Linked DNA regions of Pelodiscus sinensis. The protein of the gene in region 1 interacts with the protein of each later gene in a pairwise test. Links are inferred from orthologs where the notes say so. Each region holds a gene or a part of one and is shown in the gene's direction. Other genes may lie near its edges.

Region 1 (9,954 bases):
GCCCCGGCCCCGGGTGCGCCGCGCGTGCCGGTGCCGACCCTGACCCCCGGCCCTGGCCTTTGCCCCGCCCCCGGGGGCGCCGCGCCAGCCCTGGCCCCAGCCCCGGCCCCAGCCCCAGCCCCCGCTCCGCTCCCGGGGGCACCGCGCCAGACCCGGCCCCGGCACCAGCCCCGGGGGCGCTGTGCGGAACCTGGGCAGCCCCTGCCCAGGATCGCAGCACATGCCGGTGCCGACCTCGGGCGTGTGGCACATGCTTGGCCCCGCCCCCAGACACGTGGCCTGTGAGCGGCCCCGCCCCCATACACGCAGCACGTGAGCGGCCCCGCCCCCAGGCGCCCGGCAGCCCCAAAACGTTGGGGACCACTGGCATAGATGATCATTTGCAGGTAAAACACCGATCTCTCTGGAAGGAGAGAGGCAGAGATGGGTGGGTGCCTCTATAGCAGAGGTGGGCAACGTGTGGCCCACAGGCCCCATGTGGCCCATTGGGGTTCTATGTGTGGCCTGCAAGATGTTTGGTTTACTGCTGCCCACGCCGGTTGCCAGATTCTGCTGGTTTCTATCTGTGTGCATGAGACCCTTTTGATTCGCAGATTTGCTATTTGTGATTCTGCATATTCACTGGTGTCTCCTGTCCCGGCCCGGAGAGTCAGCGGGAGCCGTGGGGAACTCCCTGCGGTGAGTTCCCCGTGGCTCCCAGCCCGTGGTGACTTCCCCGCTGTGGCCAGGAGCTGTGATGAGTTCCCCAAAGCTCCCAGCTCCCACAGTGAGTTCCCCGCTGTGGCCAGGAGTTGTGGGTGCTGGGAACCACGGTGAGTTCAGGAGCCACACTTGAAGGAAGCCTGGTGCTGGGAGGGGAGCCCGCAGGGAGTAGGGGACAGGAGAGGCTGGGGCTCCTGGGCAGGGGTGGCAAGTTGGCTGAAATGTTGGTGGTGCCCAGAATACCCAGAGCCTAAACCCCTTCTCCATCCAAACTCCCACCGCCACCACCCGCCTCAGGCTCTGGAAGGGAGTTTGTTTAGCAGACTTCTGGCGTACTTAACATTTTTTGCTATTACTTTTTGGTTTTGGCTAGCTGTTCTTCAGATTGTTTTGGGCCTTCCTAATTATATTTTTACACTTCCTTTGGCATTTGCTCCTTTCTATTTTCCTCACTAGGATTTCACCTCCACTCTCTACCAATGCCTTTTTATTTCCCACTGCTTCTTTTACTCGGTTCAGCCATGGTGGCACTTTTTCAGTTCTCTATGTTTTTCTAGCTTGAGGCACACATTTAACCTGAGCCTCTATTAGGGTGTCTGAAAAGTTTGAAAACTTACGGGGATTTCACTTTTGACACTGTACCTTTCAATTTCTGTTTAACTAACCTCTTCATTGTGTGTAGTTCCCCTTTATGAAATTAAATGCCATGGTGTTGAGCTACTGTGGTATTTTTCTAACCACAGGCGTGTTAAATTTAATTAATTCACTATTTCCAAGCAGTCCAGCTATAGTCATCTCCTCAGAGCCGCCCTGTCCATAGGACCAATCAGGACAGCTGTGCCAGCCTCTGCGTTTTTGCGGGGAGGAGAACGTCCAAATGGAGCAGAAGAAAATTATCCACAGTTGGGACCTTCCTTCCAGGTGATGCAATAACCTATCACACTGAGACCTCTTCAGGGGAGGGAAGTCCAGTTATTAGGAAGACACAGGTGTTAGCATTGATGGGCTTCTGCCTGCATCCTCTTTTTACATGTAGAGTTTATCCTTTTTTTATATTTATTTTTTTAAAACAGGTGGTTTTGGTTTTAGGTTAAAAAAGTTTAAAGAATGTTAAATGTTAAGTGTAGCTAGCCCTCCTCAAACTCGGCCTGTGATGAATTCCGAAGCTGGGAACAGCACAGCCTGTGCAGCAGGGAGTTTGTTTATAAACACAGGTAGGGTAATTAAGGTAACAAACGGCTTGTCATTCAAGTGGAGTAAGGATCATTGGGTGATTAAGTCACACTCAGGATGCGTTACAGTTAACATTGACAGAGCCATGCCCCGGACCATGAGTATTCATGGTGTTAGAGCACCTCTGGGGCCCATATAACTCACTGCCTGGGAGACTGGAGAATTCTAGGGGCCAGGAGGCCAGTGCCTGCAACCTCCCCGCAGTTCAGCAAATGTGGAAATATGTGACAGGGATGCCAAAGCAACAAAGTCACGCAAAGTGGGAGACAGCCCTGCGGCTCAAGCAGCACATGGAGAGGGGACAAGTATCAGAGGGGGAGCCGTGTTAGTCTGAATCTGCAAAAGCGGCGAGGAGTCCTGTGGCACCTTATAGACTAACTGAAGTGTTGGAGCATAAGCTTTCGTGGACAAAGACCCACTTCGTCAGATGCATGTAGTGGAAATTTCCAGAGGCAGGTATAAATATGCAGGCCAGAATCAGGCTGGAGATGACGAGGTGGATCCAATCAGGGAGGATGAGGCCCACTTCTAGTTGCTGATCTGGAGGTGTGAATTCCAAGAAAGGAGAAGCTGCTTTTGTAGTTAGCGAGCCATTCACAGTCTTTGTTTAATCCTGAGTTGATTGTGTCAAACTTGAAGATGAACTGTAGCTCAGCAGTTTCTCTTTGAAGTCTGGTCCTGAAGTTTTTTTGCTGCAGGATGGCTACCTTTAGATCTGCAATTGTGTGTCCAGGGAGATTGAAGTGTTCCCCTACAGGTTTTTGTACAGTTCTTTCTGGCTCCTTGATCCCTGCACTCTTGCCTCTGAGATGAAGAGCTGAGCTGAGCACCCCGATGGAGTCGGCCACCTGGCATATTTATATCCCCTCCTGGCTTCTTCTAAGCTGGAGAGTCACATGGCCAGTGGCCAGCTGTGTCTTTGGCCTCCAGCGGTCCATTGTTCCCTGGAGCTTTGCTCATTAGCATGTCCATGGGCAAACATTCCCGGCCCATTGCTCTGCCTCAGACAGAGAATCTTTCAGCATCAACATAGAGTACATACTTATAACACACACAGACATTATACAGGTATACGAAGAGCATGTACGGAATCCGTAGACAATAAGCTTTTGTTTGACACTTCACATGGCCCCCTTTCTATCAACTTTTGGGACAAACCCCCCCCCCCATGGGCGCAGCAGTGACCTGGCTGTTTCCCTTAAACTCCGGTAACGTGATAAACATTAATGGCTACTAGCCAGGATGGGTAGGAACGGTGTCCCCAGTCTCTGTTTATCAGAGGGTGGAGATGGATGGCAGGAGAGAGATCGCTTGATCATTACCTGTTCGATTCACTCCCTGTGGGGCACCTGGCATTGGCCACTGTTGGCAGACAGGATACTGGGCTGATTGAACCTTTGGTCTGACCCAGTCTGGCCATTCTTATGCTCTTATACTTGGGAGGATATAAGGAAGGAGGCAGCATCCCCAGAAGTTCTATAGGGAACAAGAAAATGGCATTCTCGTAGGTCTCTAGGTAGGTATCTGGTTTTCACCCAGATTGTTCATTATTCGGGTCCCCCGTCCAGTAAAAAAAAAACCAGAAAATACCAGACATGTGAAATGTCCAGTATTTCCTATTTCCCTTGGACGGAAGCCCAGTGGGGACAATTTTCCCCTGCCACATCTGGCAGGGGTAGGGAAGTGAGGAGTGCGGCAGAGGCGTAGTGAAGGGGGGCAGAAGGGGACACTTGCCCCCAGGCGCCATGCTAGGAGGGCACTGGGCTGGGGTGGGAGCAAGCATATGCTGCTCTAGCTCATGTGACGCTTTGAGCAGAGACCCGGGAGCTGGCCACGTGATGCCTCCCTCTACACACGGGGAACCCAGGCAGCGAGGCTGGGCGGCAGGAGCGGTGACTTTAAGAGTAAGATTTCCTTACCCGGCCATCCTGTTCCTCGGGTGCCTGGCTCTGCGGCAGGAGAGGAGGTGGGGGTGTGTGATTTGATTGGGGCGGAGCGCTCCTGGTGCTGGGGATGCCTGGCTCAGGGGGAGGGGTGAGTGCACTAGGATGGGGGACACTGGGGCTATGTCTACACTCGCGGCTTCTTGTGCGAGCAATATGCAAATGAGGCTAAGCGTGGAATATTGCTGAGCCTCATTTGCATACCTAGTGAGCCACCATTTTTTTCAGAAGAAGATCTTGCGCAAGAAGGAGCATCTACACTGCCCCTTCTTGCGCAAAAAAACCCCTCTTGCGCAATGCCATTCTTCCTGAAAAGTAATAGGTGTAACGAAATTAGGCTCATTAGGTATGCTTAGCCTCATTTGCATATTACTCGCACAAGAAGCCACAAGTGTAGACATAGCCTGTGAGGGGCCTGGCTCTGGGGGAAGGGTGAGTGCATTGGGATGGGGGGGCACTAGGGCGCCTGGTTCTGGGGGAGGGATGAGTGCATTGGGATGGGGGGGCACTAGGGCGCCTGGTTCTGGGGGAAGGGTGAGTGCATTGGGATGGGGGGGCACTAGGGCGCCTGGCTCTGGGGAAGGGTGAGTGCATTGGGATGGGGGGGCACTAGGGCGCCTGGTTCTGGGGGAGGGGTGAGTGCACTGGGATGGGGGGACACTGGGGCGCCTGGCTCTGGGGGAGGGGTGAGTGCACTGGGATGGGGGGACACTGGGGCGCCTGGCTCTGGGGGAGGGGTGAGTGCATTGGGATGGGGGGGCACTGGGGCACCTGGCTCTGGGGGAGGGGTGAGTGCATTGGGATGGGGGGGCACTGGGGCACCTGGCTCTGGGGGAGGGATGAGTGCATTGGGATGGGGGGGGCACTGGGGCACCTGGCTCTGGGGGAGGGGTGAGTGCACTGGGATGGGGGGGCACTGGGGCACCTGGCTCTGGGGGAGGGGTGAGTGCACTGGGATGGGGGGGCACTGGGGCACCTGGCTCTGGGGGAGGGGTGAGTGCACTGGGATGGGGGGACACTGGGGCGCCTGGCTCTGGGGGAGGGGTGAGTGCATTGGGATGGGGGGGGCACTGGGGCACCTGGCTCTGGGGGAGGGGTGAGTGCATTGGGATGGGGGGCACTGGGGCACCTGGCTCTGGGGGAGGGATGAGTGCATTGGGATGGGGGGGGGCACTGGGGCACCTGGCTCTGGGGGAGGGGTGAGTGCACTGGGATGGGGGGGCACTGGGGCACCTGGCTCTGGGGGAGGGGTGAGTGCACTGGGATGGGGGGGCACTGGGGCACCTGGCTCTGGGGGAGGGGTGAGTGCACTGGGATGGGGGGCACTGAGACCAGAGCCACTTAAAGGCGCAGCGCCCTTTTTTTTCTCCACTACTTTGGTCTCCCCTTTCCCCCCCCCCCCCCAACAGAATTTTTTCCCGGTGTTTTTTTTTTGGGGGGGGGGTGTTGGGTATTTTTTGTAACCCCGTCTGCCAAGCCTATCTCTGTGGGGGGGGAGGCAGCACACGGGGTGGGGGACGCAGCGGGGAGGCGGCATTCCCGCGGGGTGTCTCTAGGGGGCCGGCCGCAGGCGGGGGCGGTGGGGGGGAGGCCGCCACGCCGGCCGCGGGCCGCAGGGGTCGCTGTGGCGCTCGCAGCCCGGCTCCGCCCGCCGAGCCGGAACCTGCGTGCCGGGGCCGCGGGGTCCGGGGGGCCGGGGCCGGCGACGGACCCGCCCCGCCGCCATGTTCGCGGGGCTGCAGGAGCTGGGGGTGGCCAACGGCGAGGACCTGAAGGAGACGCTGACCAACTGCACCGAACCGCTCAAGGCCATCGAGCAGTTCCAGGTGCGGCCCGGGGGCCCGAGGCCGGCGCCTCGAGGACCGCGCAGGGCGCATGCGCGGGGACTGGGGGGGCTCATGGGAGTGCCCCCCCCACTGGCCGCCCCCCCTCGCAGGGAGACCCCGCTGGGATCGGCGCGTCTGGGGCCCGAGGCTCCGCGTGAGGAGCCGCCCCCCCCCCCCCCGCGCGGCGGGACCCTCCTACAAAGGGCTTCACCCCCCCCCCCCGGAAGCGGCCTAACCCAGGCTGGTCCTGCGCCGCGCAAGCGACTCCCTCCTTGGGGCGGGGCGTGTCCCCCCTCCCCCCATGGCTCTGGCGAAGGGGGGTCCTGGGGGGGGGTTACCGAGCTGATGCCCTGGTACATCTCCTAATAAACCATCTTGTTAGTCTTTAAAGCGCTGCCTGGTCCTGCCTTTTGTTCCAGCTGCACCAGACTAAGGGCTGCATCTCTACCACCATTAAAAAGGAAGGGAGCCCCCCCCCCAAACCGGTCAGGATTTAGCTGTTTTGCAAACAGGTTTTGTTTTTAGCAGCGTACCCCAGGCTGAAATGTGAGAAGGAAGCCTTGTTTCTCTTGGCGGGCACTCTGTTTTATTGCCAACCAGGAATTTGTGTTTAATCCAAAACTTAGGACTCTTATGGTGTTTGTTTTGCTAGACAGAAAATGGAGTCCTCCTGCCCTCTCTCCAGTCTGCTCTGCCATTCTTGGACCTCCACGGCACTCCTAGGTTGGAATTTCATCAGTCTGTATTTGATGAGCTGAGGGAGAAACTGCTAGAGAGAGTTTCAGCCATTGCCTCAGAAGGAAAAGTTGAGGAAAGGTGTGTTACTGATCTTGTTGCTGCATATTACTCATCATTAGAAATTAATTGCAAAATCATGGAAGGTAAAGTTTTTTAAAAAAACTTAAGTGCTTAAGTCCCATTTTCAAAAGCAATTCAAGCACTTAAGACCTTAAGTGACTCAGGGGTTTTGAAAACTTTACCTTGCAACTTTTCTTGCTTGCATGTTTCCAGATACAAAAAGCTAGAGGATCTGCTGGAAAAATGTTTTTCCTTGGTCAAGATGCCATCTATACAGCCTGTGGTGATGTGTGTCATGAAACACCTTCCCAAGGTAAAATCTCCTTATATCTCCTGGTTACAACAGTCCCTTTTACTTTCTGCTGTTAGCTGGGCTGTGTGGCACATTTGCAAACTCTTCAGTTAATCATTCACTGGTAGAGATTTTGGCTTACACTTTGATTCTCATATCAGTTAATTTTAATGTAGTTTAAAAAGCATTTCATACTTTATAAATGAATTAGCGAGAGAAGCGTGTTTTTCTGTTTTTAAAATGTGCCTGTCCTCCCTCATCCTTCTGAAAAATAGATTGAACTCAGTGGTAGGGGGCTTTTTCATCACTGATTTAAACGGCAAGTGGGACATTGTAAGGATGACCTAGTAAATTATATAGCTTAAATTTTAAAGCTAGATTTTTTTTTTGTAAAGGGCAATATTTCTGGGAAAGGGCACGTAAAAGGAAACAACCCTTCATGTAAGGCACTAAGTATCCTTAATATAATCGCTTCAAAACTAGGGATGTTAAAAATCATGTAATATGGTAACCAGGCAGGAGGTTTTGCTGCCTTGCCACATTGAAGAGGACTCCCTGGGAGTTGGCTGAGATTAACTGATAAACATCAGTTTAAAAGTTTATGGGTTAATTGATTAAACTCTCATCCCTATTCAAAACCTCTGCTAGTGCTTTGTACTTTGTAGAGCTTTGAACCGTCACTGTAGAATGCTTTTCTTCCTTTTTTAATAGGGGAAGATATTTGTTGTAAAACTAACTGAAGGAAAATGTAATGCTTTATCTCGAAAGCTAAATACTTTAAAATCAGGATCCTTTTGGAGGGGCAGGATCATAAAAGAAGGGTCTCTGCTGTTTCCTTATGTTTTAATTGCACTGGCTATAGAAGTTACTGGCCAGTTCAAGGCTGTGATGTCGATCTTTCCAGTAGTTAACTACCTACCATTTTAACAATCTGACCGGTGAACCCCTAGCTAAACTTTTTCCTGACTCTGCACTGTTGTTCATAGGTCCCTGAAAAGAAACTGAAGTTAGTGATGGCAGATAAGGATTTATACAAAGCATGTGCCGTGGAGGTGAAGCGCCAGATCTGGCAGGATAACCAAGCTCTGTTCGGTGATGAGGTGTCCCCATTGCTAAAACAGTACATCCTGGAAAAAGAAAACACTCTCTTCAGTAGTGATCTCTCTGTCTTGCACAACTTCTTCAGTCCCTCTCCAAAAACGAGACGTCAGGGAGAGGTAAGAACAGGAAGAACTTACAGTGAAATTTGGAACAGGATTCTCCAATCTCTGTCTTTGAAAAGGGAGCATATTGGGTTCCTATCCTGCCAGTATTATCAGAGAATTGAGCATCCATCTGGCCTTGAAACTTTGCTACCACCTGGAAAAAGCTATGTAAATATTTTGGCTAGTTACTTAGTGTCAGTTTATCTTCTTTAAACAAGTCTTAATGAAATAAACTAGGGATGTCAAAGCCAATTTTTAATTAGTTAACTGGTTAAAAGTAATGTTTAACCAGTTAACCGATTAATGGGGAGGGCAGTTGCGGGGGTGAGCAGCTGCCCACCTATCACTGCCCGTGCTGGAATGGCCCCCCCCTTGCTGCAGACTGGGACTGCCCCTGCTGCGCTGGACCTCCCTGCCTGTAGTGAGCCTTGGTCAAGCCTTCTGCCAACAGGGGCTGCTCTGGCTGGGCTAGAGTACCACCTACCCACAGCAGGCCCTGCGGAGCTGGAGCAGCCCCCCACCCATGGCAGGTGGGAAGCTGCTCCGGCCCCTACTGGTTAACCATTTACATCCCTAAAATAAACAGGCTAATTTTATATTTAATAAATTAAACATAAAGCTCAATGTTGTTATAATTGTATTACTTTGTCACTAGGTGCCATTCCAATAGGTTAATCTTTTGTTTAAGCAGATTTTTTAAAATAACATTTAAATTGCTAAGCAAAATGTGTAATTAATATTTTTTCCTCGTTCTATCAGTCTGGGATTTAATATAACGCCCAGCTTTATCTACTGTATATTTGAGAGAGTTTGTCCTTGAATCTGTTTGTTTGTTCAAGAACTCCTCCTAAACGGTAAGAGCTTGGACTACCAAATTTGGAATATTGTTTCCTCTTCTCATAATTTAAAGTAAGGTCAGGGTTTGGTTGTGCCAGGAAAGTGGGATGTTCCTGGAATAGGATGGCTTTTCATAATACCATATAGCAGGGGTTCCCAAACTTTTTGACACAGGGACCAGTAAATCCATTCACGAGGTTTTTCAGGACCGATAACATATATTTGCATATTCAATAAGCAAATGATGAATATTCAAATAAGTTGTTTCTGGTCCTCCCAAAACCCGCAGTGCCAGTGTTAGCAAAGCTTTTGATACAGTGACCCACAATATTCTTGCCAGCAAGTTAAGGGAATATGGATTGGATAAATGGACTGTAAGATGGATAGAAAGCTGGCTAGACCAGGGGTTCCCAAACTTTTTACTTTAGTTGGAACCCAGTTTTTTTTCAGAACTGTCTTTTGCAGCCCAAAAATATAAACGCATATTTAAAAAAAAGAATGAAAAATGAATACATTTTCAGTGTTTTGCCCGGTTGCATCCTCCACCCAGCCTGGGCCAGGGTTTGGGTAACCCGGCGCCACATGAGCACTTCAGGAGGCAGGAGCAGGAGCAGATTGGGGGTGGGGTATCTGGCTAGGAGGGAGAGTGCAAGGAGGGGTAGGGTTGCCAGGTGTCCAGTTTTGTACCGGACAGTCTGGTATTTGAAGGTTTTGTCTGGAAAAGAAATTGAGAAATTACCAGACATATAAAATGCCTGGTATTTTCTAATTAGGTACGTCTTAATATAATTAAGTGTAATAGTCCTTAGCTGCCTGGCTGGTAGATGTGCTTGCGCTGTCTGAGTGTGTCTACCTGCCAGGCAGTTCGCAACTACTCCAGGGAGGGGGCAAAATGGAATCCGCAGCCAGACTCACTGGTCTGCCAGGGTCTGCATATGCCCAGGTCAGTCCCACTCTCCCCCCCCCTTCTCTTCCCGATCTCCCCAGTCCAGCCCTGCTGCCCCCATCTAGCCCTGCTTCCAGCGGTCGGTTCCCCCCGCCACCCACCAATCTTCCCCGGTCAGCCCCGCTCCCCCGACAACCCCCACCACCACCAGCCCTGCTGCCCCCGTCCAGCC
Region 2 (9,728 bases), on another chromosome or scaffold:
TAATAAGCGAACTTTCTATGCCAATATCTAAATCGTGGATGAAGATATTGACCAGAGCCGGTCCCAAAACAGACCCCTGCGGAACCCCACTTGTTAGACCTTTCCAGCAGGATTGTGAAACATTAATAACTCTCTGAGTACGGTTCTCCAGCCAGTTCTGCACCCACCGTATAGTAGCCCCATCTAAGCTGTATTTGCCTAGTCTAATATCATGCGAGACCGTATCAAAGGCCTCACTAAATCTAGGTATACCACATCTACCACTTCCCCCTTAGCCACAAGACTCGTTATCCTATCAAACGATAGGGGGACTAGGGGGCACTGCTGGGGCCCTGATCCCCCTAGTTCCCCTCACGGGCCCCCGGCAGCGCCCCAAACCCCCCCAGCTCCTCGGCACACCCCAGCCCTGCCCCACCACACTCCCAAATCCCCCGCACACTCCTCCGCACCCCCCAATCTCCTGGGAGCCCCCACCAGGCACATCAAGGGGTGCTGACCTGGCCCGGCCCGGCCGCCACGTGCGTGGGCTGCTTGGCCCCGAAGGTCTGGGCGTGTTTGCTGGTGCGCTCCTTCTTGGCCTCCACCGCCGCGTAGTACCTGGGGCGGGAGAGCGGGTGAGGGGAGCCGCCCGGGGCAGCCGGGGGGCGGGCGAGGGCAGAGGCCCGGCCAGGGGGGACTCACCCCTTGGTGAGGAAGGCGCCGCGGGCGTCGAGGAGCAGGAAGAGCTCGTGCTGGGTCTTGTGGCTGGTGCCCGTGTACAGATAGTGCTCCAGGGGCACCGGGCGCCGCAGGGTGCTGATCACGTAGATCCGCTTCCGCTTCATCCGCCTGCGCCCGGGGGGGGGGGGGGGGGGGGGGGCGGGGGGGAGGTCAGTGCTCACGGCCCCCCCTGCCTGCCCCCAAAGCCCCCCCCCCCCCCCCAGCCTCCCCTTCCTGCTCAGCCCCCCACCCCCAATGTGGTGGCTGGGCAGTTTGCTTTGCTGAGGCGGCTACTCAGTCCCCACAGCCCCCCAACTCTCCTGCCCCCTTCCCCATAACCCTTCCCTGCCCCACAGGCCCCCCAACTCCCCTGCCCCCCCAACTCCCCTGCCCCCTTCTCCACAGCCCTTCCCCTGTCCCACCGCCCCCCCCAACTCCCCTACCCCACAGCCCCTCACCCGATCCAGTCGGCGAACTCCAGTGTGTTGGGCACAGGTGGCGCTCAGCAGGATGATGTTCACGTGTTCGGGCAGCATGATCAGCACCTCCTCCCACACCACCCCGCGCTGGGGGGGGGGGGGGGGAGAACACGGGGTCAGGGAACAGCCGCCCACCCCTCCTCCCACACCACCCCGCGCTGGGGGGGGGGGGGGGGGCGGACGACACAGGGTCAGGGAACGGCCGCCCACCCCTCCTCCCACACCACCCCACACTGGGGGGACACGGGGTCAGGGAACGGCCGCCCATCCCCTCCGCCCACACCACCCCGCACTGGGGGAACACGGGGTCAGGGAACGGCCGCCCACCCCCTCCGCCCACACCACCCCGCGCTGGGGGAGGACACGGGGTCAGGGAATGGCCGCCCACCCCTCCTCCCACACCACCCTGCGCTGGGGAGACACGGGGGTCAATCCCCACCTCTGCCCCTCGCCCTGCTCCTCACCTCAGCGTCATTCACGTAATGAACCTCGTCAAAGATCACCCATTCCAGGTCCCGGATCACGTCCGAGCCGTTGTACAGCATGGACCTGTGCCAGACGGACAGACAGACAGCTAGAGCCCGCCCCCAACCCAGCCCGACTCCCTGGCCCGCAGCCCCGAGTATCCACCCGCAGCCCCCCCATCCCGCAGCCCCTCGCCCCGACTCCCTGGCCCGCAGCCTCTGTCCCCGCCCCACAGCCCCGAGTATCCACCCGCAGCCCCCCCATCCCGCAGCCCCTCGCCCCGACTCCCCGCCGCTCACCGCAGGATCTCGGTGGTCATGATGAGGCAGGAGGCGTCGGGGTGCAGCTGCACATCCCCCGTCAGCAGCCCCACGTCCCCAAAGGTGTTCTTGAAATCCCGGAACTTCTGGTTGGACAGGGCCTTGATGGGGGAGGTGTAGATGGTCCTGGGGGGGGGCAGGAAGGGTTAACAACAGGGACCAGTGGGGGGAGGGGCTAGATCCAGCAGGGGGAGGGGCCCTCACCTGGTCATGTGCTTCTGGGCCAGGGCGATGGCGTATTCGGCCACCACCGTCTTGCCGGCCGAGGTGGTGCGCGGCCACGAAGAGCGAGTCGCGCCGCTCCAGGTGCAGGATGGCCTGTTTCTGGAACACGTCCGGCTCGAACGGCCACTGGGCCGGGGAAACCGAGTCAGGCGGGACGCCCCTCTCCCCGTGGCGCGTCCCCAGGCTCCCCAGCCGACCCCCACGGCACAAGGGAACTGAGGCTAGCATCCGGCCCTGGGCCCCACAACCCCGTGACACGTCTCCCTGGCTCCCCCACCCCAGGGCAGCCCCCGCCCCCCTCAGGGCCCCAGCCCAGCGCGGCCCAGGCAGGGTCTCACCCGGAAGGCCGGGTCGGGGATGCGTTTGTAGAAGTCGTCCACGGGCGAGGAGGTGTCGACGGGAATCGCCCACTGCTCCTTGGGCGGCTCGGGGGGCGCGGCCTGGGCGGGCGGGGGAGGTCCGGGGGTCACCTCCTGTGGGGGCAGAAGGGCTGGTTACGGGGCTCCGCCCCCCAGGGCGTTCCTGCCTCGGCCTGCCCCCAAAACCCCCCTCCCCCAGCCCAACCCCCCCTTTTCTGCACCCTGCCCACAGCCTCCCCTCCCCCCCACCAGAACAAGCCCCGTCCCCCAACATCCACCCCCCCAGCTGTCCCGCCTCCACCTTCAGCACCAGCTCCTCCAGGCTGTCTGCCCGCTGGGGGGCGGGGGCAGGGGCGGGGGGCGTCGCTCCCTCCTTCCCCTTGGTCTTCCTCTTCGTCTCCTCCTCCTCGTCGCTGGAGCCGCCCAGCTGGAAGGAGTCCAGGGTCCCCAGCAGCCCGGCCAGGGGCAGCAGGCCCGGTGCGCTCTGGCGCGGCGCAGCTAGGGGGCAAAAGGGGGGGGTTAGGGGGCGCCGGGAGGAGGGAGTCCCTCCAAGCGAGCCCAGCCAGCGGGGTGCCCCCCTCCAGGACACCAGTGTCTGCCCGGCCCCCCATGGAGAGACCAGCCCCCCAGATCAGTACCTTGCGGCTTGAAGTCCACCCCCTTCTTCCAGCCGGGGGCACCGTCAGCAAGTCTGGGCAGCGGGGAAGGAAAACAGGCAGAGTTACACCAGCCAAAGTTGGGAGGGGGCGGGGGGGAGAGAGGGGGCAGGGGCCTGTCTCCACCAGGGGGCGCCAGGTCTGGCCCCTCTAGGGGTGCTGCCTCCCACCCGGCCCCAGGGCAGGACCTGGCAGGGTGGGGGGGGGGTCTGGCCCCTCTAGGGGTGCCGCCTCCCACCGGGCCCCAGGGCAGGACCTGGCAGGGCGGGGGGGGGGGGGTCTGGCCCCTCTAGGGGTGCCGCCTCCACCCGGCCCCAGGGCAGGGCACTGAAGGGCACCCAGAGCCCGCCAGGCCCGAGGGGATGGGGGCGGGGGAGAGGCAGGACACCCGGCCCCCTCACACCTTTCTCAAAGTCCACATCCTCCTCCAGCTGGTCCTGGGCGCAGATCTGCTCCAAGCTGGGCTCGTCCATCCCGCTGGGGAGCAGAGAGAGGCTGAGTCCCAGCAGCACCGATGGGGGGGGGGGGGGCGGGGGAGAAGGAGGGGGACGTACCTGGCCAGAAGGGGTAGTTGGTGCTGCTGCCCCGCAAGGCCTGGGCGGGGGGCCCCGGGGCCCGCTGGAGGGAGAGCGAGTTCTTGGCCGACAGCCCCATGTTGTCCAGCAGCGCCTGGGGCGGAGAGCGAGGAGCGGGGCCTTCACTCACCGTGGCCCCCGGACAGCGCCAGGGCAGCGTCGCAAAGCCCCGGAAACGCCCCTTACGCCGCCCCCCGCTCAGGCCTCCGCCCCGCCGGCCGGGGACTCGCAGGGCAGCGCTGCTCAACCCCCCGCGCGCCCGACCTGCTCACCCCGCCACCCCCAGGGCACGAGGCCGCTTGGAACTCTGCGCTTCAGGGGGGCTGGTCTCCTGCCCCCGCACTCAGCCTCCTCTCCCAGGGCGTGACGAGGGGGGTCGTACGTGGGCTCTCGGGAGCCTGAAAGGATCAACGCCCCGAGGGAGGAACCACACAACCCGAAGCACCGAAAAAGAGAATCCGCCTTCCGCTGAGCAGACGGAAAGGAACCCGCGTCCACCCGCGCTGCTTTGGATGGGAATCGGGCAGAACCCCTTAACGCCAAGGAGACGTGTGCGCTGGCAGGGCGGGCGCAGCACGAAGGGGCGTGTGAAACTTTAGCGCATCCGGCACGTAAATACTCGGGGACGCCGGCCACAGCGGCACAGGCCGGCTCTCACACTCAGGTGGCCGTGGGAATAAGAAACAGGCAGCATCCTCACACCCACTGCGGCCAACCCGTGAGTCTGAGCAATTGGCCGAACAGGAAATAGGACTGAGTGGACTTTCTTGTAGGGTTTTTTTTTTAAATGCAGTTAGCTTGCGTACATGGGTCTATATTTGGGAGCACAACTGAAGCTGTTGCACAAGACTTGTAGTGGGAGAATTGAGCGAGACCCCCTCTTTTGTTGGTATCGCTCGTGCTTACGAAATTAGGAGAGCATTGTACATTTTGTATTCTTTGTTATAAACACGGCTGTTGGGTAACAGAAGGATTAAAGGTGCGTTTAGTTTTTTAAATCAGTCCCCCAGGCCAGCATCTCTCATGTGCCGAAAGGCCCCCCCCAGCCTAGGGAGGGAGGCATGGGACCCAGGCGTCCAGGCCAGCACGTTTTGGGCGCAGTGTGGCTGCCAGGACAGGACCCCCGTGCCTGGATGGGCTCACCTCTCGGAAGGCCAGGATCTGCCCCGTGGTGGGGTCCCGCTCCGCCTGCAGAGTGGCGTGCACAGGGGTGGCGTCTGTCTCCAGCAGCGACCACACGTCCTTCTCCCGCGGCCAGCACCTGGAGGGGGGCACAGAGGCGGAGTCAGCGCCCGCTGCACCCCGATGTCCCGCCCCTCTCCGCGGCCGAAGGGCTGGTGCCCGCAGGGGTTTTCGGGGAGGCGGGTGGGCACCAGGACTCACCTGTGGGCCCTGTCGAAGCGGTGGAGGGGCAGCCATTCGGGGCTGGCCAGGAAGCGCCGCTCCAGCTCAGAGGCCAGGTCCATGGTGAAGGGGGGCAGCCCGTGGGGCAGCTGGAGAGGGAGAGGGGAGGTGTGAAAGGCCCGTGGGGCAGTGGCGGGGTAGGGGAGGGAAGGAGATGGCGGCCGGGGGGGGGTCTCACCGTGCAGAGGGGGATGGTGCCGCCATCGGGCCCCTCCGGCCGGGTGACGAGCTCGAAGCGCCCGGCGCAGCCGACTTCCAGCAGGGACAGGGGCAGCTCCAGGGGCCCCCGGGGGGGCAGCGCTGGGGGGGGGCACAAGGGGGGGTCGGACTCTGCAACAGGCAGAGACCCCTCCCCCTGCAGATCCCGCTGGAGCCTGCCACGGCCCCCTCCTGCCCCTCCCCCCACTACCCCTGCCCCCTCCTGCACCTGCGCCCCTCCCCCCACTACCCCCTCCTGCCCCTGCCCCCCTCCTGCCCCTCCCCCCACTACCCCCTCCTGCCCCTGCCCCCCTCCTGCCCCTCCCCCTGCCCCCTCCTACCCCTGCCCCCCTCCTGCCCCTGCGCCCCTCCCCCCCACTACCCCCTCCTGCCCCTCCCCCCCACTGCCCCCCTCCTGCCCCTCCCCCCACTACCCCTGCCCCTCCCCCCACTACCCGCTCCTGCCCCCCTCCTGCCCCTCCCCCTCACTTGCCCCCAGCGCCCCCCCTCACTCATTCGCTCCATGTCGGCAGCCGCGGGCCGCCCCCTGACCCGGAAGGGCTCCGCGCGGGGCCGGCGCAGCATGGCCCTGCGGGGCGGAAGCCGGGGAGAGAACCAGGGCGAGCGCTGCGGGGCGGAAGTGACGCCAGCCGGCGCCGCGCCCCAGGGATAAGAGGAGCCGGGCGCGAGGCAGGCAAATGAGGGCGCCGCTCCGCCAATGAGCGTGCTCCGAGCCTGCGCGCGAGCGGGGAGAGCCGCGCCACGCTAGAGCCGCCGCGGACGGGGAGCGGAGAGGGTCAGTCCGCGGGGGGGGCAACCTGCGCGCGCGCCCCCCCCCCCAACAGCCCCTCTCCCTGGCCGCCTGCCGCGGTGCATCATGGGAGCGGGGCTGCGGAGGTGGGGGGGGAGTTGGTGGGGCCTGGGGCGGGAGCAGGGGGCGGGGCTTGGGGCAGGGAGGGGGCGGAGCTTGGGGGCAGTGTAAGACTAGGGGGCGGGGCTGGGGGCAGGGCCTGTGGCGGAGGCAGGGGAGGAGCTTGGGTCAGGGAGGGGGCGGGGCCTGCAGCAGGGGGCGGGGCCTGCAGCAGGGGGCGGGAGCAGGGGCGGAGCTTGGGGCAGTGCACGTGTATGGGGCTGGGGGCGGGGCCTGCAGCAGGGGGCGGGAGCAAGGGCGGAGCTTGGGGCAGTGCACGTGTATGGGGCTGGGGGCGGGGCCTGCAGCAGGGGTGGGAGCAGGGGGCGGAGCCTGGATCTAGGGCAGGGGGCGTGGCTTAGGGTGGGGGCGGGGCGGGAGCAGGTTGCAGCTACCCCAGGACATTGTGGGTAACGCCCGGGGTCGGGAGGTAATCGTGGAATTGAGTAACCGATTAATCGATATGCAAAAACGTGTCGGTGAATGCTACAGCCGACTCGCCGCCCCCCCAGTAAATGTGCGCGCAGACTGGCCAGCAGCCCAGCTGGGTCCTGGCTTGCGCCGGATCCGGGGCCTGGCCCTGCTGCGGCTCTGCCGTTCAAGTGCATTAGGAGCCGGGCGGGCAGGGAGCCTGGCTCAGGTCTGGCTTGCGCCGGATCCGGGGCCTGGCCCTGCTGCGGCTCTGCCGTTCAAGTGCATTAGGAGCCGGGCGGGCAGGGAGCCTGGCTCAGGTCTGGCTGACGCCGGCTCCGGGAGCTCAGACCCCCCCGACCCCAGACGGGCTGCTGCCCCCCTGCGCTGCTGCCTCTGTATCAGGCAGGCGGCTGGTCCGCAGGGGGGCTGGCTTTGAAACAGGCTCCCCTCGCAGACCGGCTCCCGGCGCTGCTGCCTCGGACACCGCGGCAGCGGCACGGCGGGGCGGGGGCTCCTCGGGAGTGGGGCCGTGTCGTGTGCTTTGCTTTTAGATCCCAGGGAAAGCGGAACCCCCCAGAGAGACGTTCCCGCAGTTGTTTGAGTGTGACAAGCCTTAGCAACAATCGCTGGACAATTGAAAACACTGGAGCTATGGCTACACTCGCGGCTTCTTGCGGGAGTAATATGCAAATGAGGCGAAGCGTGGAATATCGCCGAGCCTCATTTGCATACCTAATGAGCCCCCACTTTTTTCAGAAGAGGCTCTTGCGCCAGGAGGAGCATCTACACTGCCCCTTCTTGGGCAAGAAAACCCTCTTGCCGCGAATGTAGACATAGCCCAGGGCTTAAAATTGAAAGCAATTCGCACAGCGCGAAGTGCACACGCCAGTCCTAGCCGATTCTAATACCCTCATTGCGCCTAGGTCACTTACATGTCACCGGTGCGCTCCCGACAGTGCCAGGCCGGGGGTCGTGGTGGCTTGGATGCCTGCACGTCGGCACTGAAGGGGTGTGAAGGGTCCGTTCCTTGTTCCAGTGTGTCAGGGACCCCCCGTCCCCGATCCTGCACCCCCGTAGCAGCCAGAACAGACTCCCCAGCCGGTAGAACAGGGGGGTTATTGCTTCTCCGGGATACAGCCCAGCACAGACGCGATGTGGCTACAGGAGTCAGGGCCAGGATACCTCCGACCCCTAGGGTTAGGGGTCCATCGCCCCCTCAGCTTAGTCTGTTCCCCTCATGTTTCCCAGCCAGAAGCCGCCTTGCTCCCAGAACCTGCCCTCCCGTCTCCCCCTCCCTCTGGGACGGGCTGGGACCCGTGTCTGGGTGAGTCTGGGAATCGCACCTCACAGCGCAGGGGGACCCCGGGTCACAGAGCAGACAGGCCCCCCCCCCGCGATTGTTCTTCCTAAACCCAACTGACAGCCAAGCGAGACTTGGTCGGCCTACGCCTGTCTACCCATCAGCTACCGTTTCCGGAAGATCCCTCGTATGCCGATATCCAGGGTCCATTTGCAATGGCCCGGTATGCGCCAGCGCGTCTGGACTGTCTCTTATCACAGTGGGACGTCCTAGGACCAGGCTGTTCCTGCTCTCTGGCCTGGTCTCGCCGGCCTGTCCACGTTCCGCAGCGTTGGGCAGCCCTGCTGACTCCCCCCCCGGCCTGCGTACCGACGTGTGCGCCCAGGCTCCAACCAGACCCAGGGGGGGTGTTAGAGCCGTGCTTGGCCAAGGCCGGGCGCTGCAGGCGTTGCTGGTCTGGACCCGGGAGGGCCGCCCTGGCTCCCCGGCAGCGCTGCCTCCACCCCCAGGGACTCCAGACCAGTCGAGTAACGGCTCAGAATCCGCGATCACTCGGCTAGTCAGTGAACCAACATCGACCATCCGTAGTGCAGGGGGAGGCTCCACCCCCCCCCCGCTCACCCCTGTGTCTGCTTCCTCCCGCAGCCCCCGGGTGCCAGTGCAGCCTCCCCCCCACGAGCGCCCCACCATGCTCGTCCTGCCCCCCGGCCTCACCGAACAGGAGGAGGCCTTGCAGAAGAAGTTTGCCAAGCTGAAGAAGAAGGTCGGAGCCTGTCGCCCCACCTGGGGGGGGGGGTGCTGGGTGAGATGGGCCCTGTGGGGCAGGGGGAGGGGCGTGTGGGGCAGGGGGAGGGGTGTGTGGGGCAGGGGGAGGGGTATGCGGGGCAAGATTGCGGGGCAAGATGGGCCCTGTGGGGCGGGGGGGGATACTCGGGGCGAGATGGGCCCTGTGGGGCGGGGGGAGGGGTGTGTGGGACAGGGGGAGGGGTGTGCGGGGCGAGATGGGCCCTGTGGGGCGGGGGAAGGGGCGTGTGGGGCAGGGGGAGGGGTGTGCGGGGCGAGATGGGCCCTGTGGGGCGGGGGGAGGGGCGTGTGGGGCAGGGGGAGGGGTGTGCGGGGCGAGATGGGCCCTGTGGGGCGGGGGGAGGGGCGTGTGGGGCAGGGGGAGGGGTGTGCGGGGCGAGATGGGCCCTGTGGGGCGGGGGGAGGGGGTATGCAGGGCCTGTGGGGTTCTGGGGCTGCGGGGCGGGGGCAGGAACTGACGGACGTTTTCACCCCCCAGAAAAAGGCTCTTCTGGCTCTAAAGAAGCAGCAAAGCTCCACCAGCCAGGCCAGCCAAGGAGGCATCAAACGCTGTGAGGCCGGGCAGAGCCTGGGGGGTGCTGGGGGTGGGGGCAGGGGCCGGCGGGCGGAGGGGACCTGGGAGCCCGGATGGCTGGGATCTCTGGGAGGGCAGTGGGGGCCGGTGGTTACAGCGGGATGCAGTGGGGGCGGGTGGTGGCAGTGGGGGGGCAGTCCCCCGTGGTTACAAGCAGGGGGAAGCGGAAGCCAGTGGTTACAGTGGGCGGGGGGTTGGTGGTTACAGCGGGAGGGGATCCCCCGTGGTTGCAGCAGGGGCCGGCGGTCCCAGCGGGGGGTGGGACAGGGGCCGGCGGTTCCAGCGGGGGGGGGGAGGCAGGGGCCGGCGGTTCCAGCGGGGGGGGCAGGGCCGGCGGTTCCAGCGG

The links. The genes of interacting proteins can lie anywhere in the genome.
Region 2: the proteins of NELFB (region 1) and negative elongation factor E-like interact in binary tests that used the Homo sapiens proteins (3 or more experiments, as listed by UniProt). The link is inferred for Pelodiscus sinensis from reciprocal best matches to the Homo sapiens genes NELFB and NELFE.

The regions. Positions count from the first base shown.
Region 1 is NC_134732.1:3,323,564-3,333,517, forward strand, and holds the start of NELFB (negative elongation factor B), read left to right. Parts: upstream 1-5,541; 5' UTR 5,542-5,602; coding exon 5,603-5,704; intron 5,705-6,356; coding exon 6,357-6,520; intron 6,521-6,715; coding exon 6,716-6,815; intron 6,816-7,780; coding exon 7,781-8,011; intron 8,012-9,954. UniProt on the Homo sapiens protein: Essential component of the NELF complex, a complex that negatively regulates the elongation of transcription by RNA polymerase II.
Region 2 is NW_027466016.1:18,518-28,245, forward strand, and holds the start of negative elongation factor E-like, read left to right. Parts: upstream 1-6,017; 5' UTR 6,018-6,176; intron 6,177-8,649; 5' UTR 8,650-8,692; coding exon 8,693-8,767; intron 8,768-9,286; coding exon 9,287-9,359; intron 9,360-9,728. UniProt on the Homo sapiens protein: Essential component of the NELF complex, a complex that negatively regulates the elongation of transcription by RNA polymerase II.